7 linked regions of the Ovis aries genome follow. The protein of the gene in region 3 interacts with the protein of the main gene of each other region in a biochemical or structural test. Links are inferred from orthologs where the notes say so. Each region holds a gene or a part of one and is shown on either strand. Other genes may lie near its edges.

Evidence for each region.
Region 1: the proteins of ERBB2 (region 3) and STUB1 form a complex in vitro, tested with the Homo sapiens proteins (4 studies listed by BioGRID, with this or other methods). The link is inferred for Ovis aries from reciprocal best matches to the Homo sapiens genes ERBB2 and STUB1.
Region 2: the proteins of ERBB2 (region 3) and ERBIN form a complex in vitro, tested with the Homo sapiens proteins (4 studies listed by BioGRID and IntAct, with this or other methods). The link is inferred for Ovis aries from reciprocal best matches to the Homo sapiens genes ERBB2 and ERBIN.
Region 4: the proteins of ERBB2 (region 3) and SRC form a complex in vitro, tested with the Homo sapiens proteins (3 studies listed by BioGRID, with this or other methods). The link is inferred for Ovis aries from reciprocal best matches to the Homo sapiens genes ERBB2 and SRC.
Region 5: the proteins of ERBB2 (region 3) and SHC3 form a complex in vitro, tested with the Homo sapiens proteins (2 studies listed by BioGRID and IntAct, with this or other methods). The link is inferred for Ovis aries from reciprocal best matches to the Homo sapiens genes ERBB2 and SHC3.
Region 6: the proteins of ERBB2 (region 3) and SLA2 form a complex in vitro, tested with the Homo sapiens proteins (2 studies listed by BioGRID and IntAct, with this or other methods). The link is inferred for Ovis aries from reciprocal best matches to the Homo sapiens genes ERBB2 and SLA2.
Region 7: the proteins of ERBB2 (region 3) and SHC1 form a complex in vitro, tested with the Homo sapiens proteins (2 studies listed by BioGRID and IntAct, with this or other methods). The link is inferred for Ovis aries from reciprocal best matches to the Homo sapiens genes ERBB2 and SHC1.

Annotation. Positions count from the first base shown.
Region 1 is NC_056077.1:1,118,100-1,122,017, forward strand, and holds STUB1 (E3 ubiquitin-protein ligase CHIP), read left to right. Parts: upstream 1-1,173; coding exon 1,174-1,332; exon of another isoform or gene 1,333-1,338; intron 1,339-1,823; coding exon 1,824-2,022; intron 2,023-2,108; coding exon 2,109-2,274; intron 2,275-2,315; exon of another isoform or gene 2,316-2,461; coding exon 2,462-2,549; exon of another isoform or gene 2,550-2,694; coding exon 2,695-2,751; exon of another isoform or gene 2,752-2,838; coding exon 2,839-2,955; exon of another isoform or gene 2,956-3,031; coding exon 3,032-3,157; 3' UTR 3,158-3,418; downstream 3,419-3,918. Other genes in the region: uncharacterized protein LOC101103616, read right to left, coding at 1-79, 252-411, 544-637, 1,045-1,175; JMJD8 (jmjC domain-containing protein 8), read right to left, coding at 3,465-3,545, 3,635-3,769, 3,853-3,918. UniProt on the Homo sapiens protein: E3 ubiquitin-protein ligase which targets misfolded chaperone substrates towards proteasomal degradation.
Region 2 is NC_056069.1:13,773,250-13,777,414, forward strand, and holds the start of ERBIN (erbin), read right to left. Parts: upstream 2,801-4,165; 5' UTR 2,250-2,800; intron 1-2,249. UniProt on the Homo sapiens protein: Acts as an adapter for the receptor ERBB2, in epithelia. By binding the unphosphorylated 'Tyr-1248' of receptor ERBB2, it may contribute to stabilize this unphosphorylated state.
Region 3 is NC_056064.1:39,822,576-39,826,075, forward strand, and holds part of ERBB2 (receptor tyrosine-protein kinase erbB-2), read left to right. Parts: intron 1-555; coding exon 556-707; intron 708-1,810; coding exon 1,811-2,024; intron 2,025-2,764; coding exon 2,765-2,899; intron 2,900-3,184; coding exon 3,185-3,253; intron 3,254-3,419; coding exon 3,420-3,500. UniProt on the Homo sapiens protein: Protein tyrosine kinase that is part of several cell surface receptor complexes, but that apparently needs a coreceptor for ligand binding. Essential component of a neuregulin-receptor complex, although neuregulins do not interact with it alone.
Region 4 is NC_056066.1:66,307,694-66,311,193, reverse strand, and holds part of SRC (proto-oncogene tyrosine-protein kinase Src), read right to left. Parts: intron 2,077-3,500; coding exon 1,977-2,076; intron 1-1,976. UniProt on the Homo sapiens protein: Non-receptor protein tyrosine kinase which is activated following engagement of many different classes of cellular receptors including immune response receptors, integrins and other adhesion receptors, receptor protein tyrosine kinases, G protein-coupled receptors as well as cytokine receptors.
Region 5 is NC_056055.1:23,964,138-23,968,239, forward strand, and holds the start of SHC3 (SHC-transforming protein 3), read right to left. Parts: upstream 2,801-4,102; 5' UTR 2,458-2,800; coding exon 2,002-2,457; intron 1-2,001. UniProt on the Homo sapiens protein: Signaling adapter that couples activated growth factor receptors to signaling pathway in neurons. Involved in the signal transduction pathways of neurotrophin-activated Trk receptors in cortical neurons.
Region 6 is NC_056066.1:65,720,766-65,725,000, reverse strand, and holds the start of SLA2 (src-like-adapter 2), read left to right. Parts: upstream 1-1,435; 5' UTR 1,436-1,778; intron 1,779-4,235. UniProt on the Homo sapiens protein: Adapter protein, which negatively regulates T-cell receptor (TCR) signaling. Inhibits T-cell antigen-receptor induced activation of nuclear factor of activated T-cells.
Region 7 is NC_056054.1:105,194,964-105,199,078, reverse strand, and holds the start of SHC1 (SHC-transforming protein 1), read left to right. Parts: upstream 1-1,315; 5' UTR 1,316-1,447; exon of another isoform or gene 1,448-2,414; coding exon of another isoform or gene 2,415-2,420; exon of another isoform or gene 2,421-2,424; intron 2,425-2,465; 5' UTR 2,466-4,115. Other genes in the region: CKS1B (cyclin-dependent kinases regulatory subunit 1), read right to left, coding at 898-956. UniProt on the Homo sapiens protein: Signaling adapter that couples activated growth factor receptors to signaling pathways. Participates in a signaling cascade initiated by activated KIT and KITLG/SCF.

The sequences.
Region 1 (3,918 bases), on a different chromosome or scaffold from region 3:
GCGGGCAGGCCGGGCACTGCGGCCACTGCCTCCTCAGACATGAAGGCTGCCGCCTCAGGAGCTCCGGCAGCCAGTACCGCTGTGGGCAGTGAATGGACAGCACTCAGCCCCGCCTGGGCCTGGGGCTGCTGTCCCCAGCGACTCTCCTGTATCATGTATCTGGCCGTCGGACCATTTCATGGATAAGGACACTAACAGGCCAGGTTCCGCCAGCGACCCTGCCCGGGGGTGGTCCAGCTTTCCCGACTAACCCGAGGCGGTAGCCGGGCCCACGCCACGGAGGGCGCACAGAGCCATGACCGCTGCGTGCATGTCTGGCAGGAGGCGGAAGGCGGCGGCCGAACGCTGCACCACCAGCTCCGGAGAGTTGGCGGCCACGAGTTGCTGCAGGCGCGGTCGGAAGCGGCCCCTCTGTGGCCAGGTCGGGTCGGGTGTCACGGGTGGCGGCCCTCGCTGGGAGGCCCCTCAAGACTGCCACGAGGGTGAGCCCCCTGGGAAGCCCCACCCACGTGGCTGTGCCGCGCCCCAAGTGGGAAGCCTTACCGCCAGTTTCCACGCCAGCAGCCGCTGCAGCTCGTCTAGTGTCACGTGCTTCTCCGCGCGGGCCCCGATGGCCGCGGGCAGCTCCTCTCGGTACCTGGGGGAAGGCGGCGCTACGGAGTCCGGGCCACGGGGCTCGGCCCGCCCGCCCCTGCCCCCTCCGCCCTACCACCGGTCCAGCGCTTCCAGCCGCCCCTGGGGGCCCGCGCGCGCCCGCAGCACCGCCCCGCGGCACTCCAAGACGGCGGCCCAGCGGCTTGGGTCCTCACAGCTCCAGAGCCCGCCAGCCGCGGCCATCTCCCCGCGCCAGGCGAGGCCTCGGGGGCGGGGCGTCGGAGCGCGGCCGGGCGGGCGTCTGCCCGGGTGACCCAGCGCGTCGCAAACCTTGACGCCGCGTCGCGTTGCCAGAGTCCCCCTCCCTGCCGGCCCCGCCCCCACAGCGCGCCGGGGGCACGCACGGCCCCGCCCACCCGTGCGGCGGTCCGCTCCGCTGGCCCCGCCTACCTGCAGACCGGAAGTTCCGGTGGCGGAGCGCTGGACCGAGCCCGAGCGGATCGCGGGCTCGGGCTGCGGGCGCAGGGCGGGCTGGGCGCGGAGCCTGGGAGCGGAGCCCAGGCGGTGCCGTGCGGCGCCATGAAGGGCAAGGAGGAGAAGGAGGGCGGCGCACGGCTGGGCGCCGGCGGCGGCAGCCCCGAGAAGAGCCCGAGCGCACAGGAGCTCAAGGAGCAGGGCAACCGGCTCTTCGTGGGCCGCAAGTACCCGGAGGCAGCGGCCTGCTACGGCCGCGCCATCGTGAGTGCGCCCGCGCTGCGGGAGGGGCTTGGCGTCCGAGCCAGGGGAGGGGCCGAGCTGCGGCTTCTGCCGCGCGCCCTCTTCAGAACATGTCAGGCCGTGCCCGCCAGACTTTCGGAGGGAGGGGGTGGGTGCTTGGGGTCTGGGGCCAAGGCCGCGCCTTTCCCGAGCCAGTGCGGGCTGCCAGAGAACTGTGCTGGGTGGGAACCGTAGGTGTTCGAGGCCCACTGGGCTGGGGACCAGGCATCCCTGCCCCTTGAGGAGTCAAACGCGATGCTGGGGATTTCCATGAGTCCGGGAAAACTACCTTCACAAGACTCATTGGAGTCCAGAGAGTGGGCTCACGTAGGCTTCACCCTCCCTCAGAACCCAGGGGCTTGGAAGCTGAGAAAATGCTAGTGTCTTGGTTCCAACCGCGGGCCTCAAGTTGGGACGGAGTGGGCAGGCTGAGCTCACTCCCTCATGCTGGCTGGCCCGGCCTTGGTCCCCAGACCCGGAACCCCTTGGTGGCCGTGTATTACACCAACCGGGCACTGTGCTACCTGAAGATGCAGCAGCACGAGCAAGCCCTGGCCGACTGTCGGCGCGCCCTGGAGCTGGACGGGCAGTCTGTGAAGGCACACTTCTTCCTGGGGCAATGCCAGCTGGAGATGGAAAGCTATGATGAGGCTATTGCCAACCTGCAGCGAGGTGGGCTTACAGGCTAGCTGGTTCCAGGGTGCCTGGGACCAGGTGGGTGGACTGGTTGAAGTTTACCCAAATGCTCTATCCCCCAGCCTACAACCTGGCCAAGGAGCAGCGGCTCAACTTTGGGGATGACATCCCCAGTGCTCTGCGCATCGCAAAGAAGAAGCGCTGGAACAGCATCGAGGAGCGACGCATCCACCAGGAAAATGAGTTGCACTCTTACCTCACACGGCTCATTGTGGCTGAGCGTGAGAGGTGGGCTCCCCCTCTTCGAGTCACCACTCTTAGGTTAACTCTGAGGTGTGAACACAAGTGTTTATTGAAGGCCAATTCTGGCACGCAGGAGATGGAGGGAAAGGGGCCTGAATGATCCTAAGTCTGGAGTGGAGTCTGACTGCCCCTGGCCAGACCCATCTCTGAACACCTTTTGGTCAACCCCCAGGGAACTGGAAGAGTGTCAGCGGAACCACGAGGGTGACGAGGACGACAGCCACGTACGGGCCCAGCAGGCCTGCATTGAGGCCAAGCATGTGAGGGTGCCCCAGCCCGAGTGTGGGTCCTGTGTGTGCGTGCGCTGTGATGTGAGGTGCCCTGGCTCCTGCTGGGTCTGTGTCTCGGTGTCTGGGGAGGGGAGAGGGGTGTCAGGCCCACAAGTGGCTGCTTGGTTCTTTGCAGGACAAGTACTTGGCAGACATGGACGAGCTCTTCTCCCAGGTAGACGAGAAGAGAAAGGTGAGCTGCCCGTCTTCTGGGGCCGGTGGGTAGCTAGAGCAGTGTCCCTTCCCAGCCCCTGACCTGATCCAACCCTGTGTGCTGCAGAAGCGAGACATCCCTGACTACCTGTGCGGCAAGATCAGCTTTGAGCTGATGCGGGAGCCCTGCATCACGCCCAGTGGCATCACATACGACCGTAAGGACATCGAGGAGCACCTGCAGGTGAGGGTCTGTGGGCGCTGGCAGCAGGGCCCACGCGCACTGAGCAGCCCCTGACTCTGCCCTGTTGTCACTGCAGCGCGTGGGCCACTTTGACCCTGTGACTCGGAGCCCCCTGACCCAGGAACAGCTCATCCCCAACCTGGCCATGAAAGAGGTCATCGATGCCTTCATCTCTGAGAATGGCTGGGTAGAGGATTACTGAGCAGGGTGGGTGTATGGGCCACCCACCTGCCTTGCCCGGTACCCTAGTTCAGGAGGGCCTTGGGGCAGCAGCCCCTAGTTTTCTGTATATAGTTTGTGTCCCTGGATCCCTACCCTGGTGTCCCCACCCCCACCCCCATCAGTTCTGCTGGGCAACACGCCTCTCATCCTCCTTCTGGGCCGGAAAGGGGGGGTGAGGCTGGGCTGGGCTGAGGCTGCTGCCACCACCTCTGTCCCTGTAATAAAACCTGTGAGTACTGCAGGGATGTGTGCTGGTGTGCGGTGGGCTTGCCAGCCACCCCCTTTGGCTAGCCGAGGAAGGTAGAGATGAAGACGCTGGTGTCGAGGTTGAGTGTGGCATGCCACCATCGGTCCGGGAAATACAGCACCTGGCGAGGGGTTGGGGGGACATGTGGGTTGATGGGTTGGATGGGGGTCCTTGGCCTGGCTCAGCCTGGCCCGTCTGCCAGCCACTGACCTCACCAGCCTGGATAGTGCATTCCAGGGGCCGTGCAGATGGTGTCAGGGCTGGATATGTGTCCTGGAGCCAGGCCAGTGTGGTTTTGTTGGGGTGGAATTCGGGTGTCTTCTCAGGAGGGTACAGGAACCAGCGCTGGGGGTTGGCGGGGAGCAGCAAAGTTATGCTTTGTATTTTGGTCAGTGAACCCAGAGTCTCAGCCTGCACCCTGTGCTGACCTTGCGGCCATAGATCACCTCCGAGAACCCAGGTCCATGCCAGTGGAAGGGCACCCCAGAGCCAGC
Region 2 (4,165 bases), on a different chromosome or scaffold from region 3:
ATATGAAATATCACTAATTATAGTTACCACTTTATTAAGAAAAAACATGCAATAAAAAATTTGCTTTCTGTATCTGAACCTCTGTAAGCTTTTAAGACACGAAAAAATTTGTAATAGTTTGTTCTCAAACATCAGGCAGACTTCCTAATATAATATTTGAATCCATTAGTTGAAAGATTAAGTTTATCACCATGGAAAACTCTTAAGTACCTTCAATAAGCAGTGCCATTCAGTGTGCATTTTGTTCAGACACCTTGGAATTACTCTAGATTTGCCAATTTAATCCAAGAAAACTCTTAGAATATTAAGAACATCCAAATTTTAAAGCCATTTTAAAATATTTTAATTATTTTTTTTAATCTTTTTAAACCACTGTCACATTTTAAACAAGATTTTGAAAAATATAGTTTGATAATAAATTAAAACCTAAAATTCATTTAAGTTAATTCAACACCAAACTAAGTCTGCATTTAAACATACTATTGCTCCCCCAAGGGAAAAAGAAAAATCAAGAACTGTATCTAAAAACAGGGATGTAAGTATTTTCCAGGGCTATAATACTTTTTATAAGTAAAATTTACTAATGCAGAGAAACATATTTGCAAAGTGATAGCTCTCTATAAAAGACTTGCTCTATTAAGGCTTTGTTGCTCTGAAGCCAAGTATAAACCATATAAGGAGACTGAAGTTCAATGCCATTTATTTTGTTCCCCTCTTTCAGCTGCCCAAGAATAACCTCTTTCGTTGCCTAATGATATGTTCCAAAATCATAAAGCAGATCAGTTAACTACTTTAAATTTCCTGATAAAGTTACTTTGACTTAACAGGAATTACCTGATGGTTCACAAATCTTAGCAACAATTTAAAAAAATTTTAAAGGCGTTCTAGAGATTAAGCTTTAGGGAAAAAATTCAAAAGAGATGAAAGATTGCCATTTTGAAATGTATTTGTGAAATAATTTGATCTAGTCCTTCATGACCTAACTTTTCTCTCCTTTGAACTAAAGAAAGCCAACTATTCTTTCTTGAGGTAGCATGGGCAATTAAACATACATTTATATTTAAGATATACCTACCAACTAAATACCATACTTATTTAATATTTATTCAAAAGCATAGTATAATCTTTCACCTCCCTTTACCACAAAAGTACAAACGGAAAAAAACCAACCTTAAAAAGACACATTAAAACACCACTGAAGAAACCGTTTCGTGTTTGCTCCGACCAAAACTGGTTTGATCTATAAAGACTACCGATTGGTTCAGAAGTGTTTGTATTTATGACTGACTGGTGGAATGTCTCCCATGCTTCAATAACCCCTGCCACCACCGTAGATACTCATCACCTCTGAGGCGGCCAAAACATTCGGGCCAACACAAAAATGTAAATACTGTACTATTCCAAAAGCACAGATGTTTATCACAATCACTGTGATGCCCATGAAAATTGTTGTAAGCGTTTTACTTTCCTTTCTCTGTGTCCTGTTCTGAACTGCACCTAAGTCCCAACAAACCAAACTACTTCACAGGTGTTTACGTGTGTTTTTAATCGTAACACTCTTTATCGACAATACTTCCTCCCTCCTTTTTCTTTCTACTCTCAGTAACAAGAAAAATCTAGCCGACAGTTGTTTTCAACTAATTAACCAAACAAGTATTATCAAGTTCTAAATGTCTGAAAGGAACAAGTTATTGAAGAAATCTATTTATTACCCACCTAGAAAAACGACTGAGAATGGCAAAGGTTTCTGTTTTATAAAACCCAATGAAATATATCCATAAAGACTGCTACTAAAAACAAATCTATATAGATACAATTAAACGCAAAGGCCAAGTAATCGGTAACCGTATAAACAAATGTGGCAGCCATCTCAGCAGCAGCAAATCGCTCCCCGCAGTGACCTAACTTTCTTCAAAACAAAAGTTGCCAGGTTCAGCAACTTAATGAATCAGAAACATACACAGGGTATATGTTCCAGGAATCTAAGACTTCTGGACCTTGTGCCAAACAAAGGCACTCTTCCTTCGGATTGCTTAAAACTTTTCGTCCCACCTCATTCTTACAACCTCTTCTAAAATAACCAAAGAGGGAGTAACATCTTACTATTCAGCACCTAAAACACTATCCCGTTCGACATCAGAAAAGGAGAATTTAGGGGAACTTGAGAAAAAAACCGAAAAACACTAAAGTTTCCTCTCTTTTCTGGCCCGGGAGCTTTGTGGCTCGTAGACACTTCTCGTGAAATTTACCTTTCGGTCGGGCAGTGTCTCAAGGCAGCTTTTTCAAGGCTTCGCCTGACATGATTTCCTTCCCTTCATTAGTCACTTCGGATCCAGCCCAATTTCACTCTCCGGTGAGAGCGGATGTGGAGTGGCCTCCCGCAGAAGGAAGAGTAGGTGGCTTTGGTGGGGGCTGGGACGCGCGGGCTGGTTTCCCGGTCTCGAGTTTTGCAGGAGTTTCCCAGCCCCAACTAGGATCTCCGCCGAAAAAAAAACTTTTCACTCGTGACACCGCCCGGAATTACCGTGCGAAACTCACTTCCTGCCTTGGCGAACAGCAGGATCCAGCTCGGTCCAGGGGAACCCGGAAAACCAGCTCCCGGCGCGCCGGGGAGGGGGAGGGGAGGGGGCGTCCGCCCCGAGCCTGGGACTCCGGGCGACCCGCGCGCCCCGATACCCGACGGCTGCCGAAGGCGGCCGGCGGGGGCGAAGACGTCGCCGCGGCGCTGGGAGAGCCGCGGTCGCGCTAGGCCGCCACCTCCTCCTCGCCGCCGCCCCCGGAGCCGGGCGGCGGGGTTATTGTCTCGATAGAGCCTGCCGCGCCCTTCGCCTGCGCCGCCGCCGCCGCCGCGGCCGCCCCGAGCCGGAGCCGAGGGGCCGGGCTGGCTCGATGGCGGCCCCCTCCCCGGGCCGTCCGTCGGGCTGTCCGTCCTTCCGTCCGTCCCTCCCCGCCTTCCCTCCTCGCCCTCGAGCCCTCTTCTCCTCCTCCTCCCGTTTTCCCGCCGCCGCCCCCTCGCGCCCCTCCTCGTTCTTCTTCCCAGGCGGCGGTGGCTCCCCCGGGAAGCGCAAAGGCTGAGGGCAGGCGGCGGCTTCGTCTCCTCAGGAGCTCGCGGGGCCGCGGCAGGGGCCGAGGCTGCGTCCCGCGCCGCCGCGCCACATTCACTCGAGCGAGAGACTGCGAGGGGCGGGGAGGGGAGGGAGGGAGCGGAGAGAAAGGAGGAGGAAGGGGGCTGGGGCGCTGGGGAGTCACTGCCTCACAGGCCGCGGCGGCAACAGCGCCACCGCCCCGGCGGCGAGGGGGGAAGAGCAGCGCGCGGCGGCGGCGGCTCCGCGGCGGGGGCGGGGCGGCCTCCCGCGGGCTTCGCCCCAACCGCCAACAGCCGGGCTGGAGGCCGGCGCGAGCCAGTCACCGCGCGCGGGGGCGGTGCGGGCCGACGTCTGCGGCGGGAGGCGGCGGGGGGCGGCGGGCCGGGGACCGGGGGGCGGGGCTGGTGGCCGCCGGGGGTTCGCTGGTGAGGCCCGCTGCAGCCCAGGCCTCAGAGGCCTGCTGCCGCTACCCGGCTGCCCAAGGTGGGGGACTCCGACGAAGTGGAGCCCGGCTTGCCCGGTGCCCAGCTTGGGAGACCGAGAGTCTCCAGGCCTCCTCCACCCCGGCCGATTGAGTTTCTTTGTACGACAGTGATCGGTTCAAGTCCAACCCCGATTTCAAGGCTGCAGGTATCTCTTTCAACTGCAGCACTCCAACTTCCTCTAATGGCACGCTCGGTTTGCAGGAAACCACAGCGGCAGCTCGGAGAAGCTTCCCACGCCGGCCCTTGCTCCGAGCTTGCTCGCTCAGCAACGCAGCTCCTCCGAGTCTCAGCCTCACACCGGTGGGGAGACAAAGCTGGCCCTGGGACGGGGGAAAATGGCCCGCGAAATTGCCTCAAGATAATGCCTTTGTTAGAGGAAATATTGGATACACTCCGATACGCGACGTAGGCTTCCAACCCTGGAGGTTTCGGTCGTGCAGTCGTTGAATTTCGCTGGCCCTAGTGATTCAGCCTGGCAGCGTTTGCGTTTATTGCGGAGAGAGCTGCTTAGGCATTCTATCAACACATATGGCATAAAACGCCTCAACCATAACATTGCACAGTTTTTGCAGTTACTGCCTTACATATGTTAAC
Region 3 (3,500 bases):
GCACTCTGGCTCAGCGTCTGCAGCTTGGGTCCAGATACCCAGTTGGGATCTGACACTCCTTTGCTCTGCCTGGGGAAATCCCAGAAGTCCCTGCAGTGACCAGGCCACTGGTGGTCCCCAGGCCCCAACTATGACTCGAGCTGACCCTCCTTCCCCACTTTCTGGGTGGCATTGCGGGGGTGGGTATGCCTTGCCAGGAGGTTGGCATGTGAGTGGCATTGTTTGCTCGGGAAAGGGGCAGGGGGTATCCAGAGGATTCATGATTCATCATTGCCTCTCTTGGGGGATTTTTACCCATTGGCCCTGAGTCGTGCCTTTGGGACAAAAGAAGGCTTTCTTTGCCAGCCAACACCCTGGATTGAATGGGCAAGCTCCCTAAGGCTGGCCCAGTGGGACCCCCTCTGGATGCTCAGGATGGGGCAAGTTGGCGGGGGGAACCTCCTCTCTGATTTCCCTCCTTTTCCCAAACTTGCACACTTTCTTTTGCTGTTGCACGTGGCCGGTTGGAGAAGCTCACTGCGCAGGCCTTTTGACCCATCTTCTCTGTTCTGCCAGTGTGCACCGGCACAGACATGAAGCTGCGGCTGCCAGCCAGTCCCGAGACCCACCTGGACATGCTACGCCACCTCTACCAAGGCTGTCAGGTGGTGCAGGGTAACCTGGAGCTCACCTATCTGCCTGCTGATGCCAGCCTCTCCTTCCTACAGGTGAGGCCCATGGGCAAGACCCAGCCAGGCCCTGCTTCCTGCTGGGCTGAGCCCTCTGCCTGCAGATGGGTGGTAGAAGAAGGTTCCCCGCCTTACATTTTCTCTTTCGTTGTGGCTCCTGAACCGGGAAGTCATTTCTGATGTCTCACCCCATCTGTCCTACACTAAGACCAGCTGACTCTCTGTCTACAGCGTGGCTGACTGTGGACATCTCTGGGTGGAATGCATCTATTCCTGGGCTATATTTTTTGCTCTCTCACCAGCACAATCACCTTCCCTTGTCCAACTGTCCCAGCCACTGTCCCCCTCCTATCTGGAGTAATGAAAGCCCTGGCAGGTTCTGAGTCCAGTTCTGCCATTGACAAGCCCTGTGAATGTGGTCTAGCCCCTGGCTTCACTGGATCTCAGTTTCCCTGTCTGTATATTGGGAGCCATGAGTGCTTCTCTGGTGGCTCAGATGGTAAAGAATCCACCCGCAGTACAGGAAACCCGGATGCAATCTCTGGGTCAGAAAGATCCCTTCGAGAAGGAATTGGCTACCCACTCCAGTATTCCTGCCTGGAGAATCCCATGGACAGAGGAGCCTGGTGGGCTACAGTCCATGGGGTTGCAAAGAACTGGACACGACTGAGTGACTAATACTACATTGGGAGCCATAGGCATACTTGGACTCCTCCTGGGGAGCCCATTTAGAATATCATGTGGGAAATATATGTGAAAGGGTCAGGAACAGGCGAGCGAGTGGAAGCCAGCCTCTGTGTTGTGTCCCAGCGTGGGGCCAGGTGTGCGACACTTAGTCCATTGAATCCCAGACATCATCACGTCCAGGCATTTCCTTTACAGATGGAACAGCTGAGGTGTAGAGAGGGTGGGGTGCCCACAGTTTACAGAGTGCTGCCCCCACCCCCTCATTTTCTTTCTTGATCATACTAGAATTTGGTCCTAGAACCTGGTTTGGGGAGGTGGTGGGCAGACTGCTTGGCAGCTGGGCCCTTGCCCAAGATCCCCAAGCACAGGGGACCTTGAGGAGGTCTTGGGGGTTGGATGGTAGTGGTCCAGGGCCTGACCTTCCTCAGCCCTCTCCTCCTCTGTCCCTTTTCCAGGAAATCCAGGAGGTGCAGGGCTATGTGCTCATCGCTCACAATCGAGTGAGTCAGGTCCCACTGCAGAGACTGCGAATCGTGCGAGGCACTCAGCTCTTTGAGGAACACTACGCCCTGGCCGTGCTGGACAATGGAGACTTTCTGGAAGGTGCTGCCCCTGCTGCGGGCACGGCCTCAGGAGGGCTGCAGGAGCTGCAGCTGCGAAGCCTCACAGGTGACCATCTTTATCCTTGAAACTTTCTGCTGGTTACTGAGAGCTGGCCAGGGGTCCCTACTAGCCAAGGGGTGACTGTGAGTCAGAACTGGGGTCCTGTCAGAACTGGCGTCCTGGGGACGGATGCAGGTGGAACTAGGAAAGGCGCCCTTGTGAAGATTCAAAAAGATTTCCCCTCTTCCCAGGAAGTCACAGCTTGCACCAGCCCGCATAGTTTGATGATTAGGATGCAGGCTGGATTTTTGCCCACGTCTTGGCTGAGTGCACATGTACAGTGAACAACCTGTGTAACTGTACGTGGCAGCCCTGAAACAGACAGTGTTTCAGACTCTGAGTGCCCGGTGCTTTGCATGCATAATCCCATCACTCCTGCCATAATCCTGCAAGGGAAACATCAATGTTCTCATTTTACAAATGAGGAAACAGGTTTATGGAGGATAAGTCACACAGCTAGGTAGTGGTGGTGAGGCTGGGTTTCACACTCTTTTAATTGCTAAGCCGTGAGCACACAGTAGAGGTGGAGGAGAGGAGGCGGCGGCATGGGCAAGTCACTCCCCCCTGGATCTTTGTTTGTGGGTGGTATTGACAAGGCTCAAAGATGCTGAAGGGGTGTTCTCTGCTCCCTGAGGAACCTGGGGTGTGTTTCAGAGGCCTGCTCCACTTTTAGAAGGCAGGCAGGCCCCAGGGGAGATAAGATGCCAGATGGGGAAAGAAGCCCCTGATTATTGCCCACCCCACAGAGATCCTCAAGGGAGGGGTCTTGATCCAGCGGAACCCCCAGCTCTGCCACCAGGACACGATTTTGTGGGAGGATATCTTCCACAAGAACAACCAGCTGCCCCTCAAGCAGATAGACACCAACCGCTCACGGGCCTGTAAGCCTCGCTGCCCCCTGCCTGCAGCCGCCACCCTTTTTCACGCAGCCCAGCGACCCCAGACTCCTGGCTTACTCCTTGTGCCCCTCTGCTGCCGCACTAACAGCACCCGTCTCCCCTTTCTCTGCATCTCTTCATCTCTGTGGGTCTCTGTCCTGTTTTTCTCTGCTTCTAGATCATGCCTCTGGCTTTGAGGTTCTCTTTTCCTGCCTGGGTCTGCCCTTCACTGTGCATTTCACGTCCTGGTCTCGGTCTCTCTCACTGCCTCTCTGTTTCTTCCTCCAGGCGCACCCTGTTCTCCAGCTTGTAAAGCTCCCAACTGCTGGGGAGAAAGTTCTGAGGACTGTCAGAGCTGTGAGTTACAGGGCGGCCCAGGGCCTGGAGGGCGGGGGCTGAGTGACACGGGAGGGGCTGTGCCAGCCCTCGGCCTCTTCCCTGGGGCAGGAAGTCTCCCCAGAAGGTGGTGCTGGTGAGGGGCTGGTGCCTAGACTGCCGCCCAGCCCTCATCCCGCCTTGACAGTGACGCGGACCGTCTGTGCCAGTGGCTGTGCCCGCTGTAAGGGCCCACAGCCCACCGACTGCTGCCACGAGCAGTGCGCTG
Region 4 (3,500 bases), on a different chromosome or scaffold from region 3:
TCATTCAGTGCCTCAGTTTCCTCATTCCATATGAGGAATCAATATGGCGATGGTCCCTCCCCCATCACTACAGCCCTGGTGGAATGGCAGCAGAGTAAAGGACGTGGGTAAAAATGCCTACCCCTCTTTTCCCCTTTGCCTCACAAGGAAGGCACTTCTGAGCTGGATCTTGAGGGATGAGTAGGAGTTTGCCAGACCGATGGGAGAAGGGGCCTTTCACACAGAGGGAACAACATGCATAACAGCAGGCAGGCACCAACAAGCAAGAAATGCCTAGAGACGGTGGGGATGTCCAACCTCCTTAGCCAGGCCTTCCAGGATGCTCTGGGATCAACCCCACTCTACCCTCTAGAACCTTCTCACCCTTCCATAGCCCTGAAGGCATGTAACCCCCTCCAGCACTGCACCCTCCCAGGAGCTGCCCTTCTGAGGGGGGCTGCCATCCATCACCTCCCTCCAGCAGCTCGGCTTCACTGTGCTTCCTTCAAGGTCCTGCTTGAGCCTCCCAGCCCCTGGTCACGACCAGAGGTGGGCACACAGCACAGCCCCCTAAAGCCCAAGCTGATCCCAGCCATGCCCTGCACAGGCCACGGGGCCCGGACTAGGGCCAGTTCCACTATACTCTGGCCCCAGGAGGACGTGGCCTTCTCCACCCAGGCCTCCCTAGGCCCAGCGCTGGCCCTGCATGCAGCTGGCACTTGGGGGGAGCTGAGCGAGCAGGAGGTGGATGGGGAGGAGGTGTGATGGGGAGTGACAGGGGTGATGAGAGGACCCTCCCCATTCTCAGCCTGGGGGTGCAGGTCAGGATCTGGTCCAACTCTAGGGTGTGAGGACAGAAGCTGGGGAAGCCGGAGGGGGTGCAGCCAAGGGGGTGCAGGCGGAAGCGCATGCAGCCCCACCCCCACCAGTGAAGCACCCCCACCCAGCCCGCCGCCCTGGGAGCACGTACACACCTGACATCCACCTTCCTCCTAGGGCCAGCGAGAGAGAAGCAGAGAGGGAGAAGCTGAGAGAGAGCTGGAGGGAGCAAGCACGGGCCAGGAGTGGGGCAGGGCATCCCCGAGGCTGCGGGGGAGGGATGGGAGGTGGCAGAGACGGGAGAGCAGGCCGTCCAAGGGCAGGAAGGCAGCTGGTGTGGAGCTGTGCCCCGCCCTCTGTCGGCAGCTCCGCCCCCACTGTGATCACCCCAGGGCATGGCACCCAAAGCCTGCACTCCCCACCCCCCACGACAGATGCTGCACCCCACTTCCCACTGCACTCTGGGCAGGCGGGGAAAGGAGAGGAGGAGGGAGGAGAGGAAGGCCCCCACCCCCTGACTGAAGCCCCACCCCTCTCATCAGTTCATCACTCACAGGGGCCCCAGAGTCTGGCAGGGTCCCCTGCTCCCCCGTTCATCAGCTTGGCCCTAGGATGCCCCATGACAAGGCTGGAGTCCCTGGAGGGGGACATGGATGCCACCCTAGGGTGCCCTGCCTTCCACATCCTATGCCCCATCCTCCCCATGCCCTATCCTGACCCCTCTCATGTTGGGTCCCTAATATGGGTCCCCCAACCCTGCCAATGTAGGGCCCTCCCTCTACAGCTGAAGACTCACTTTCTGGGCTGCCCCAGGTGCTCCAGCACCTCTTGGGGCACAGCCTTCAAGTACAAAGGCCCTGCTGTTTGTAGCCCCGGGTCCTGGGCCCAGTCCTACTCTGACCACACGCCCCTCTGCGGGTGCTGGGATCTGGAGCACCGTGCTCTGTGGATCAGTTACCGAACCCAGATCCCTGTCCCTGGAGCCCTCCCAAAGCCACACCCACCTCATCGGGGTGCCCGCCTGATCACCCCCACAGACCCCAGGATGCCCAGGATGGGTTCCCTGGGCCTCGGCTGCCTTGACGTCCAGCCCCGCCCACTGCCCATCAAGCTGGCTCTGGGATGGTCAGAAGTGGCTCCAGCCCAAGACCAGATCGGGGTCCCCAGGGGGCACTCACGTGTTGTTGACAATCTGAAGCCGCTCCCCTTTCTTGAAAGACAGGTCAGTCTCTGTCCGCGACTCATAGTCATAGAGGGCCACGAAGGTGGTCACTCCGCCTGCTCAGAAGACGGGCGTGTCAGAAGGCCCGGCCCTGGCTGGCAGAGGAGAGCCCTGCACTCTGGGGGTGGGGGAGGGTCCCCCACTGCCAGCCCGGGGGCCTGCTTTCATTTACAGAGACGGTGGGCTTCTGTGCATGTCCCCTGTGTCTATGTGTCTGGCACACCTGTGAGGGCACGGAGGAGGCACGTGGGTCTCTCACGTGTGTCTGAGCGGGTTCACATGATGAGCCCAGCGGGCTCCAGGTGATGCTGGGTGTTGGCTTCTGTTTGGTATCTGTCTTCCCCCCAAGAACCCGAAGCCCCCAGTAACAGGCATCTTTATTTTGTTCCTAGAGTCTGGCGCATCGCAGGTGTTCAAGAAACAACCATGGGGTGAGTGAAGCAGTGAATGAAGGAAAACTGCCCCTGGGGAGGCGGCTCTGTGACTCTCTGTGTGACTCTGGGTGCTTCGGGCCATCAGGGACGATCCTGGCTGCGGGTGACTGTCCCTCCTGAAGCCCTCTCTGTGCCCATTTTAAGATGCAACCTCCACCCACACATCCCCCAGCGCCCCTCCCTGTCCTCCGTGTTCTTTCAGAGCAGTTACCACCCACAAACGCAGGGCACAGTTTACGCAACTCGCTCTTCGCCTCTCTTCCCCAGGAGGGTTTTGTCTGTTTTACACACTGCTTGTGTTCCTGACACCAGAAGAGACCTGGCACACAGGAGGGGCGCCACAACTGTCTCCTGAACAAATGAATGGCTGTGTTTGCGGGTCCGTCTGTCTCGCTTGGGTGCGTGTCTGTGTGTTCTCACTGCACGTGTGTGCATCTGCGTGTCCATGGGTGCTAGCTGAGCATGTGTGCGCTTCTGAAGGGCTCCGACTGCACGCGTCTGTGTCTCCATCTGGGAGTAGGAGGCGCTTCTGCGTATGTGCTTTTGCATTTGTGTGCATCTGCGGTGGGTGTGTGTCTGTGCCTGGAGGGTGCCCATTCCTGTGTCCCTGAGTGTGTCTCTGTGTCCATGGTGTGTCTGTGTTTACGCTGGCATCTTCAGCCTAACATGTGCACGTGTCCTATTTGGGTGTCTCTGAATGAGTTGCCGACTGTGTGTGTGTGTCTGTCTGAAGGTGTCCCGGTAGAAATGCCCGTGTTTGTGTGAGGGCCTTACCTCTCCAGAACCGCATCTACTTCTCTTACTAAGCATCACTCGCCCGAAGCGGCTATACCCCCTCAATACCAGCAGAGGGCGCAGGGGCGCATCTCGTAGGTCCAGCCTCTGAAGACCCGAGCGCTCTCTCTCCTTCTAAAACCTGCCCCGCCCCCTTGGCCACTCACCGCCTCCAGTCCTGATCCATCTCCAGGCTAACCAGAGCGAAAAGCAAAGCCTCAGACCTGGTCCTCGGGCCTCCCCAAGAAGCCCCCGGCTCTCTGGGCCTCAGT
Region 5 (4,102 bases), on a different chromosome or scaffold from region 3:
AAATTGTCCTTTAGTGTCTGGACTCCTTTGCTGTGTGATTTCAAACTTCTCCAGGGAAACCTAAGTTTATATTCCTGTGACGCCACCATTCACCACTGAAGATGGACCAGGTGACAGCAAGGAGCACTAACAGGGCACGCTATGTGCCCCCAGGTCACTACAATCCTTTGGCACAGCAAAATGACCCCAAATCCAGAAGGCTCTAGGCAGACCCAGCCTTTCACTTATTTGAGTGTTGCTCTTGCTTCAGGGTTGGGGGAACCGGATGTCACTACCTGATAGCCCAGCACAATAGACTAGCTTTCTTCAGCCACAACTGACATTTAGAACTGGATGTCAGCCTTCATCCTTCAAAGAGCAAGAGTAAAGCCCTAAGCAAAGCAAGTTATTTTTTTGAAGGAAACTTTAGAGACATAAGTTTGAAAGTTCTCCCTCCATTTGGAAACTACCCTCTATGTTCAACATGACAGGTATAAAAACCTTTGCCAACATCTGTCTAACATGGTTCTTTTTTTTTCTTCAGATAGCAATTATACTATATTACACATGGCACAAGTAATATACTCTGGCATCACTTCTTAACCTCAGCGTTGTCAGGGGTTTTGTTGTTTGGTTTTGTTTCTTCTTTTTTCCTTTTGTTTTCGGCTCCTGGTTATATAACTTAAAGAAGGCATACAAGAGGAATATTCTTTTTCTTTTACAATAAACTCAACCAGCTGTGCATACTTTATGTTGATCTTCATCCCTTTTGTAAAATATATGATTAATTCACTCTCAGAAGCTAAGAATGAAGATTAAATTAAAAAGGAGACTCAAAAGGAGAACAGGTCCATTTTTAATACTGATGATCGAATTCCTTTGTTAGTACTTTTGAGATAGTTAAAGATAATCCACAAAGTCAACTGTTTCCTTTAATATTTGGTTCAGAATTATCAAGATATATTTTGCCAGGGGATGTGGTCTGTAGAATTTTGCAACTGGATCTGTAGCCAATAAGTATTAATAGCCACTAAGAGCCTGCAGGTTTCTCAGTGCGACTGACAACACTGTGGGGACAGTGTGCATCTCATTTCTCTTAAAATGAAAAGTCATATCTTGGAGTGACCAGTCTGAAATAATGTCATTTTGGCCCCTTTCCACTGTCTGGAGGCTGTCTGCCCAGCTGGAAGAGCGCTGTGGTGATTCTCTGCTGCCCAACGACCAGAAGGATGTGATAAGCATGTGGCAGGCCAGTGGAATGCTGCTAAGTATTTGTTCTTTAAATATCATAGAATACTTGCATAAGAGAAGAATTTTGTGGACTACATCAGGCATGATTGTATAATTCTCTGTGTTGGAGGAAAAAAAAAAAAAATCTACTTTCCAGCCTGTGGCTCAGCTTCCTTTAGCCTATTTAAAGGGAAGGCCAGAGTCCCCAGGGAAAAACAGTCCCAATTTTCCTTCTGCTGCTGTAAACCAAAGCAGGTATGGAAGGAAAGGCAGAAACCAAAGAAAACCTTGCTGGCTAAGAAATTGCTACCTATCTGGTATAAAGGACAGTACTTGGGCTGCACTGCAAGGAGCTGAAAATTCTTGCTGAGGAAAGAAATGAAACCATTTACCCTGCCGCCTGGGGCAAACACAGGAGAAGTAGTGACACCACCTGCCTTTCTCATCGCAGGGGCTGCCCAGTTCTTCCAAGTGTGTACCCTAGGCAGACCTGATGCACAGTTCCCAGGGAGAGTGGTCCATGCCGAGAGGGGTACTGGCCGGACACATGGCAAAGCCCGGTGGCAAAGGCATGCCAAAGGAGCGGAGCCAGGGGAAACCAGGACAGTGAGGTCGCCGAATTCAAACCTTCTCCCACCGGATGCGCAATGGGTGCGTTTGCTGAGCTGGGTCCCCCCTGCCAAACGAGCTGGCTGCGAAAAAGTGCGCACCCCGTGGCCTCCAGAGCGACCCACTGTGCCGGACGCCTCTGCGCCCCGGCTTTCCCACCCGGCGGCCCGCGCCCGCACCCACCTTGACGACGTAGGTGACTCCTGCCCCCAGCACCTGGTCGCTGGCGTGCGGGGCACGGGGCGGCGGCTCGTCGCCGGGTCGGCCCTTCCTGGCGGCGCGCATGGCCGGGGCGCGGGGGCCGGGGGGCGCGCTGCCGTCCGGGGCGGCCAGGCTGGGCGCGCTGCAGCTGCCCGAGAGCCGCGCGCCCGCCCGCTCCCTGGCCGCCGACAGGCCGCGGAGGCCCGAGCTGGAGAGTTTCAGGTGGGACACCTTGTGGAGCAGGTGGCCCAGGCTGCCCGGCCCATCGTCGGGCGCCCTGCGCAGCGCTTCTCCGGACACCAGGTAGGGGGCCGCCGCCGGGGCCGCGCGCGCCGCCGAGACCTTGCCACCGCCGCTCACCGACAGGTTGTGCAGAAGGTCATCGACCGATGTCACCGAGTCATTCCTGAAGCGGTTGTACTTGGTGCGTGGAAGCATGCCCCTCCGTGGGCTCGCCGCATCCGCCTGGGCGCTGCAGGTGCCGGCCCCGGCGCAGGCTGCCGCGCATAGCAGGCGAGCCGCGGTCCCCGGGGCGGGACGGAGCGGCCGGGACAGCAGGCTGGGGGGCGCGAGCAGCGGCGCCGGCCTCCCACCGCTAACACCCCGCACGGCCGCGGCCGCGCAGCCCCGGCCCCGGACTCGGCTGCTGAGGGCGGTACGTTCGCTTTGCAAAAGTCATAGTTTCCTCTGCTGCGCGCCCAGCTGCTTGGGGCTGCTCACAGCAAAAGCATGACTCACTCCGAGAGGAGACCCTTCTCAACAAAGGCTCGGTGAGCACTGCAAATCACTTCCTGTAGCAAAAAAAAAAAGAAGAAGAAGAAAAAAAAAAAAAAAACCACATACACCCACTGACAGCACACTAGAGCCAATCAATTCTCAAATTTCCTTTCTCTACCTTCCCAGACATTTCCTTCCAACCTTTGCTTTTTCACCTCCCCTTTCCCTGCCCCCTCTCAGCATCTATGCCAGAGGTAAATTCTGTTCTTTCAAATGAACTTTCTGAAACCCATTATTCTATGCTAGGGTTTTTTCTTCCCTGTTCAGCCCATCTGTGAGCCTGGAAAAGTGTCTGACGGTGCAGCGTTAAAATGTGACGAAGGATTTTTAAGAATAAGATCTTCAGCGGATCCTCATGAATTTTGATTTGGAAAGCAGCAGGAATTCTTAAATAGCCAAAAAGAAAAGATTCATTCCCAGGTGAACATAAAATATCAATCTCCAAGGTTTTTTTCAAGTCAACAGAGCAGCCATGACAACAGTCTTTGTGGCGATGCAGTTCCTCCCCCTCCCAGGAAAAAAAAAATATCTGCGTATGAACTTCTGCCCAGAGCCACTGAGGGTCTCTTCCCTGATAATTTACAGCAGTCTTTCTCAGCCAGGGTTAAGCTGAAAACCTACTTCTGAAAAAGAAGAGTGTTTCTTTTGATGAATGGCAACAAACTCCAGAAATCCATTCCAAAAGGGGGGCTGTGCTTGAAGCTTTATTCCAACTGAATGTGCTCAAGCTCTGGAGAAATGCCTAAGAAACGCTACAAATACATTTCAATATCCCTTTGGTTGCTGCTTGCAACCCTGCAGAAAGAAAGGGAAAAAATGCAGCTGCTGTCAGTACACATCAAGCCCGCGGAAAGATGCCTTGCTTTCAGGGAGTCAGACACCGGCTGCAAGTGAAACGCCCAGGCCTCCTTGCTGTCCGCGGAACAGAGCACTGAGCCCCTCCACCCGACCCCAGAAGGTCTGCGGAGACACGAACCCACTGACCCCTGTCACCATGGGCTCTGCCTGCCTTCAGAGGTCTTCATCGGTCTATTGAGAGAAGCTGCCCTTCACAGTGAAACGCTTTCGCTCCCTGTCCAAGTTTCCCGTCTACTTCTATACAAAAAATGAATTTACCTCTAGCACGTTATCAGATTACCCTTAGTCTTCTCACACCCACGGCTAGACATGTGACACTTGAGGCACCCAGCCTTGAAAAGCTTTATGGAACAGGGTGTGACGAGTGCCACTCAAGGTGGGCCAGGTGAGGCCCGCTGCGGGGACGCAGGAGCGTGGAGGAGCGGCAGCTCCCCTCCCAGGGCCGCAG
Region 6 (4,235 bases), on a different chromosome or scaffold from region 3:
GGCCAGTGTGAAAGGCTGTCAGATGGAAAGATGGACAGCACAGTGGTGTGGAGGCAAGAGCAGGTGGTTGGGGCTGCGATCAGGTTCCTCCCAGCCACAGGCCACATCCTTGAGGGGTCGTCACCTACTGTAGCATGCTGGTTAGAACTTTCTTAAAGAGGAGACACTTCCACTGTGGCCCTCCACTCTCCACATCACGTGCCTCAGGAGTTAAATCTCAAGCCTTCCCCAGGAGAATGGGAGACCGTGTGAATCCAGGTATGGCAAGGCCCCAAAACAGGCTGCATTGTCTGTGAAATGACAGTTTTGCGTTCAAAGCATCTGTCTCCAGGATTGCTAAGCCCCTTAAAGAGGAGATAATGAGTGGGTATGATTATTTAGATGCTAATGAGCTGAGGTTTTTATTTAAATTTATTTAAATGTTAATAACTGATTTAAGCACACCAATCAAAGACAATTCTATCAGAGATTCTTCATCCTAGTGGAGTGAGTCTCAAGGTTAGGGAATGCATCAAGGATCACCTGGAGGGCTTGTGCAGACAGGTTGCTGGCCCTCCACCATGGAGTTTCTGTTTGGGTAGACCTAAGATGGGCCCTAAGAATCCTCCCTGTCTTCCCTGGTGGCTCAGATGGTAAAACATCTATCTGCAATGCTGGAGACCCAGGTTTGATCCCTGGGTTGGGAAGATACTCTGGAGAAGGAAATTGCAACCCACTCCAGTACTCTTGCCTGGAAAATCCCATGGACAGAGGAGCCTGGTAGGTTACGGTCCGTGAGGGTTGCAAAGAGTTGGACACAACTGAGCTACTTTACTTTGAAGATGGGCCCTGAGAATCCTCCTATGAAACAAAATCCCAGATGATACTGGGGCTGCTGGCCTAGGGACCACACTTGAACCACTGTCCAGGTCCTGCTATGCACAGTGTGGCTCCCAGATGGTCAACATGGTTTTATCCACTAGGAGTTGTTAGCAATGCAGAATCTTGAGCCCCACCCAGACTCACAGAACCAGAATCTACTGTTTAACAAGATCCCCAGGGGCTTCCTAGACAGTAAATTTTGGGACACCACCCTTCTTGGCAATGCTTCCCATACTTGCCAGCCAGGGGAATCTCTTGGTGTGGTCAAGATTCAGTCTGGGGGCTGCTCCTCTGCTGACTTGGATTCAGAAGATGTGGGAGGGTCTCAGGGATCTGAGACTAGCAGGCCCTCAGGTGATGGTGGTGGTCAGGGAAGCCTGGCTACCCATTTACCTTGGGTCTGTGTTCCTCAGAGCAGACCCAAACCCCAGAGCCAGAAGAGAAACCTCTCCCTCCAGGATCGTGACGCGGCAGCTGCTTCTCCCCCACAAACAGGAACTTGGGGAAGGTGGCTCCTTGATGGTCTGTGATGCCGTCAGAGGAAACGGGTGGTTGTGAGAACCACAGAGCCTGCAGATGTGAGCCGGGAGCCCCGAGGACCCTGCAGCAGAGCTCAGAGACGCGGGTCCTGCTTCCCCACCTGGCTCTACTTGACAGGACCACCTTGTCAGAGGTCTCTGAGGAGCACGGGGCTCCTGTCCCATCCGCAGGGTACAGACCGCTTACACAGGCAGATGCCGAGCTCCTCAAAGCTCCCTGAAGACTCTCACAGGCCAAGAGGTTTCTAGGTGGCCTAGAACCAAGGACATTGGCAGACTTCCAGAAGACTTTCCATCCCACCCAGAGCTCCAACCTCTTCAGCTAAAGCATGTGACTTAGCTGGGCCCCCACCCCAAGACTCTGATGACAGGAAACCAGTAAGTATGCTTGTTTTTATTTTCTGATGGCCTTGGGACTGTGAGGAAGGATGGTCCCCTCAAGACTGGGAGTGGGCTATACAGTTGGGAAATAAGCTCAAGGGGACGGGGAGTTGGTTCTGCTGAGGCTGTGAGAAACGGCTTCTGAGGGTCCTCCTCTCCCCCTTTGCTGTTCCCTCCAGCTGCTTTTCATGCCCATTCTGGTCCCATCTCAGTTCCCAACTTACTGTGTGACTAGGGGACCCTCTCTGAGTGATAGCTGTATGGTGTCAGTGGATACGAGGAGTAAAGTTCTGGAGTCTACAGTTTCTTTCAAAAGTCTTCAGCTGATCTTTCTCAGCTAAAAGGGAGGGCAGGGGTTCTCCCTTTAGCTCAATCCAAATCTGTGACTTACCTCCAGCACTGAGAAATTACCTTCAGAAGCACAAACACACAGAAACTGTAGACCCAGGTCTGCACTAACCAGCTACCAACAGAGTGTGAGGTCACTTTCTCTGGGCCCTGGTCATTGTTTGGAATGGTATTCAAACCCTGGGATCTCTCAAAAGGTCAAGTGCAATGATCAAAACAGTATGGGCGGTGTGCTGACCTCAGCTGTCTTTAACTCTTTCCTTCCGCCCGTGCCTGGGCCCCTGCAAAGTGCCTAACATGAGTAAGTTGTTCAGATACACAGTTATTAGATTCTTCTCTAAGTTTGGGCCAATACCACCGCCTCCTTCTAGGTCTGCCCACCCACGGTCTTCATTTTTCCCCCAGAAGTCTTCCTGACCTTGACCTGACCAGGTGAAGGGAGCTGGCAGAGTGCTGCAGGCTGGCAGCCTGAGTGCAGGGTTCTCCTGCCTCCTGGGGCCCAGCCCCCACCTCTGCCTGCAGCGGGAAGAAGCCTCTGGGTTTAGTGTGGTTGGTAACTGTGGTGACATTGTCTTGCTCAAGGAGAAGAAAGCAACCTTCGCTTAGCGCACTCTCCCTGCCAGGCTGCTCAGCTTCTCACAACCCATGGTGTCAGTATTATTCCCAGATTCACACATGAGACTCAGAGAAGTTGCGTGCTTTGCCTGAGGTCACACAGCTTGAGTTCCGTTGGTCTGAATTACGCCCTAGCGCTAGCCAGGCATGATCTGTCCCAGGGGTTTTCTGGACCCATGTCTGTACCTCATACCCAAGGAAAGGAAAGGCTGGGACCAGCAGGACTGTTGAAAACCTGACCATGAAAAGCTGCCTTGACGTTGAGGGAAGCAGAGACCCCAGGAGGCAGCGGCACCAGCTCGGGCTGCCAAGGCTTCAGGGTTTCCAAGTCTGAGCCGGAAGTGGCTACCAGGAGCCATCCCCTAAGGGTGGGCCTGAGCTCCCCAAGGAGGGAGAGCTAACAGATCCTGTTTTCCCCGTGTCGATGGCATGAGATGGCAGATGGTTTCACAGATAAATGTACTAACCTCTAAGGCAGCACCTTTACTCCTCAGACAGGTTGGCTGGTGAGGCCCTGGGAGCCCCTCCATGATCATGGTGAGCAGCTAGATGTTCAAAGGCAGGATGGAGCCTGCCATGTCCCCACACTGGTGTAATCGTGTTCTGTCTGTAAGGAAAAGACTGAAACTGTCTCAAAGAATGAAACCACCTTCCTGCAACATCTTAATAATATATTGTTTGAAAAAGTCAGCATTACCATGGAAACGAGAATTTTAATTATTCTAAGGATAATGGGCAAGATCCCCTGGAGAAGGAAATGGCTACCCACCCCAGTGTTTTTGCCTGGAGAATCCCGTGGACAAGGGAGCCTGGCGGGCTACAGCCCATGGGGTTGCAAGAGTTGGGCACAGCTTAGAGATGAAACAATAACAAACAAGGATGAGAAACCTATCCAAAGAGCTTATAATCACTCCATCCATTTAGGTAATGTGCATCAGGTGCCATCTGTGGGTGAAAATGCCGAGGAAATGGGCAAACAGAGAGGTCCTTATTCACAGCATGCTATGAAATCATGACTGGTTAAACAAACGCCCCAGTACATAAATAATTAAAAATTGGGAAGAGCACAACAGGGAGCCAAGAGGGACACAAAGGAAGGTCCCCAGAAACAGCCTCTGGTGAAGTGACATTAAGGGTGTGAGAAAGGAAAAGCAGGTGCTGGCCAGCCTCTTCACACGAGTTATCTCTCAGGCCCGTATGGCGGGTGTCGTTATCCCCTTTTTCAAATGAGGAAATGGAGGCAGAGGGAAATGGTTCGACTACCAGTCCTGTGAAGACTTGCAAGTCATCACTGTGTCATGCAGGCTCCCAGGCATCCTGCTTTGCCCTGTGATACTAGTCACTGTGTTCTCAGTGTCGCCGTAGCTTGCGAGACACGCCAGCTCCCAAGCCCCCTCAGATCCCCCTTGCCCACCTAGCCATGGGTCCCGGTGTGCCTGGGATGAATGAACTCTGTCCTGTCATTGGCCCTTGCCCCCCAGGTGACAGAAT
Region 7 (4,115 bases), on a different chromosome or scaffold from region 3:
GTGGAATGCCAACATTTGTAAAATTCTTTGTGTTGCTTTATTTTCTAATCTAGAATTATGGACTTAAGAGCTTATCAAATGCAAACTCTGTATGGAGTCCTTTCTTTATCATGTTTGGTAAATCCTATGTGCTCCCACCACAACCTACATGTACATAGCTCTATTATACCAATTATCATCTTCTTTCTGAAGCCTGTCAGTATTTCCACATATTTTTTAGGTCTGTTGAAAGCAGGGACCATGGCTTATCCGTGTACTTTAGCAGAACACCTGAAACCTATAAACACTCCATAATTGTTTCCCAAGTAGATGCCCTTCAAACATTTGACGGTAATCTATTAGGGCCATATTAAGTCTTTCCTCAGTGGTTCTGGTCAGTTTTACTCGATTCCAGTTCCTCGAAGCCCCCCTTCCTAAAACAAATCAGACAACCACGCCCCTTTCCCATGGATTAATAAGCAACACTCAGGCTCTCTTAGAACTCTCCTCACTTTGAAGACTCGAAGAAAATTCAAGCTTCGCCTTTGCCACCTTCTCCCAGAAGGCTCTACGGTGTGGCTGTAATACAAGCAGTCTCAGGAAGGCAAGTTCAGTTTACTCAACTGAGGTGAGAGAATGGTCCAGAAACCCGCAAAGCTGAGGGTGGTCAGTATTCTAACATTCGAACACTCTAACCACGACCACCCATGCCTCCTTCCAAATTCGCTATCACTCTAGGGGTTTTTTTTGATTGCCCCCCTACCTTTCGCGCATGCGCCTCACACTCTCAGCACACCCATTCCCGTTAACCTCCCGCGCATGCGCCAACTCTGCAGTTTTCAGTCCCCGTTACCAACTTCTCGTGCCCTCAGTTGTCAGAACTCACGACCTTGATATTGCCCCCGCGCCGGCACTAACCGGTACTCGAACTCCTCGTCGTCGTATTTGTCCGAATAGTAAATTTGTTTGTGCGACATGATCACTCTGCCTGAGGACCTTCAGCCCCGCGCCGCCAACCTCCGAACAACTCCCAGCAGCACGCGCTCCCACCCTCTTTGGCCTCGCTTTCAAACACGCCGCCTGCGCTTTCTATTGGTCCCTCTGCCGGAAGGCGGGACAACCCCACCTTCAAGCCTCCGATTGGCTTAGGTTTGCTTCTACTCAAGTCCTCATTGGAATGAACATTGCTCAAGAATTGCCGTAAGTAAAAAATAGACGTTTTATTGGCTATCACTGCTACTGTGCTCGTCCGCGCACTGCCATTGGTTGATTCGGGAAAGAGGGACGGGTGAAGGAGGGACAATGAGGTACAGGGTCAGGGGTTAGTGAGGCCGGAAGTGAGTGCAATAAAGTTTCTCCAGGGAGGCCGGGCCCGGGGAGAAAGTTGGAGCGGCAACCTGAGGAGACAGTGGCGTGATCCGGAACCAAATCGGCCCGCGGTGCGGTGCGGAGACTCCATGAAGTCCTGGTGAGTTGGGACATTTTTCTTCTTAGGTGACCCACTCCTCTACCCCGGAACCCCTCTCCCGGGACCCTACTTCCGGTCTTCATTTACAAGTCCCGCCCTCTGCGACCCCCTCCCCGGAAGTCCCACCTCCCAACTTCAGGGGGCTCTCCGAACCCCGACTTATATTCCATTTACTGTCCCCAATCCTACCCTGTCGTCCAGCTTTCCTGGAAGTCCCACCCCCAGACATGCTTCCAAACCCCTGCATTAGTCCTTCCGATTCCCCGAAACCCCGCCTTCTCGAGACTATTCTCCGTTAACCCCTGTCTATCAAAAGCCTAACTCCCAAAAGGGCAGAACCCTGCTACTCAAAGAACTATTCGAATTCGTGAGGCCACGCCTCCCTAAGGGTTCCGCCCCTTTAGAAGCCTCGCCCCTTCCTTAATCCACGTCGGATCGTCCAGAAGCCTCGCCTCCTGGGAGTCTCTGGTGCACGCGTCTTGAGGGGCCACGCCCCTTCAGGAGCGTTATCCCGGTTGGACCCTTGTCATCGCCTCAGGAGCTTTGTCTTCAATCCCAGAAACTTCACCTGCTTGCGCTTCCTCGTTCCTTTTCTCTTTGGGGCCCTTGGCTCAGTTTTCCTGAGCTCTTAGGCTCCACTGGATAGGGTCAAAAGTTCACATCTCTGACTCTGTGGAGTAAGAGATTAGAGGCAGCCCTTTCCCTCTCCCTTAGCCCCTTCCAAGGGTGGACCTACTTGAAGGGGGCTGGACTTGGGGTTTGGCACGAGAGTGGGAGGGAGACTTGCTCACAGATTCCCTGCCCCACTCCCTGAGTTTCCCTTCCCAGGACCGACTCCACCCCAGAAACAGCTGTTTGTCTCATACCTGTACGACGGGAGCTGGGTAGGGCCGTGGATTTGTCGATGTGTGACATGTGGGTGTGACAGAAGAGAAAGTTTTCTACCACCTGAAGACGGTGGCTTGGAATGGGTGTAGGTAACAGTGTCCTTTTTGATGTTTGATTTTTTTTTTTTAAGGGACTCTTCAGGCCCCACCACTTCTCTGGCTCTTCCCCTCCCCCAGACAGAGTTCTAGTCTGGGCATTTCTCCTGGTCCTGCTTGCCCAGCCTTCCCTGCTGGAAACATTCCTGAGGCTTTCGCCATTTCCTGCTACTTTCCGCCTCTCTTGCCTCCTCCTCCCTGCTGAGCTGAGAAGCCACATGCAGCTTCTTCCCCACACCCAGTCGTTCAGATTCCCAGTAGCAATCCCCTTTCTTCCTTCAGATTGCCAATAGCAATCTCCTTTCTTCCTCCGTAAATTTAAAGAGCCCTACTTCCTCTTTCTTTTCTAAACATGCCCACACCTGTAGGTCATCCCTTGTCTCTGGATTCTGCAGGCACCCACAGAATGCTCACCTCTAAAGATAGGATATCCTGGTGTGTGCTTGTGTGTGTGTGGGGGGTGGGGGGCGGTGAGGCTTTGGCAGAATACTTTCCTCTTTCTCTGTTTCTGAGTGCTGAGGCCTTAGGAAACAGTGATAGGTTTTCTTCTCAGGAGTGGTGCATGGGGTGGTAAAGCTCTCCTGGGTTCAGGACTACGGGGGCGGTGGTAAGCACAGTATCTAACATGTTTTCATTGTCAGGATTGTTAATCACTGTAATCACAATAATTTGCATTTTTTTAATATTCTGAAGTAAATTTAAAGATAGGTAATTCCGAGGTGAGCCTGCTGAGGGTATATGTATCTTTTACTACTACTTCTATTTGGTTGCTTTCCAACTTCCCCTGTGGCCTCCTGGAGCAGAGCTGTGGCAGGATGCTGTGGGTGGGAGGAATGAGTTTGGGACTGTTCCCTGTGTCCAGCCTCAGTCCTCTTCTGGCACCCCTTTCTCATGAGCACAGATTTGACTTCTGCGCCTCTGTCCCTTCCTGGCCACTTCTCTTGGACAGCCGTTGCACTGCCCCATCTCCTGTGGTCAGACTCTTTCCTTGATATGAGGGGTATCATGCTCCTTGGTGGATACCTGCCCTCTCTCTGGTCACTACTAAAAAGGAGGGGTATGTGTTCACCTGGAGGTCTAGGGATCTGACCTTAGTGTCAATGCCCTGGCCACCCCTCACCCCTTCTGCCCTTGACAGCTTACTTTCCTGTGGAAGAGGGGGGCAGAAGAGTATTTGGCTTGGGCCTCTGCTCCTTGGCATGGTAGGCGCCATGCATGGAGAACAAGCCTCCACCAAACTGTCCTCTGCTCCAGCTCCTGCCCGGTGGCTCCCTGATGTGCCACCCAGCTTGGACTTTATTCCTCTTACTTTAACAGCTTTGCCTTTCCTCTTGGCCCCTCCCTGCATCCACTGGGACCATGTCCTTCTTTTTCCCATTTCTTTAGCTCCCTCCACAGCTGTGATAGCCAAGGAGGCTAATGGCTCAGGCTCCCTAGGGCCACCACCCCTCTGTGGGGCAGTGGTGGGGGGGCGCTGGGGCTGGAGGCTGAGGGAATTTGAGTGTTCAACCAGGACAGGAAGGGAATTGCTGAGCTCAGGGATCCCCTCCCTTTCCCACCCCCAGCTGCCTCTGTTTCCTCCCTCAACCTCCTCCTCGCCCGCCGCCCCCCCCCCCCCCCCCCCCCCCCCCCCGGCCCCACCGGTCCCTCAGCTTCCTGCTCTCTTTGGCCTGCCCTTGTCCGGT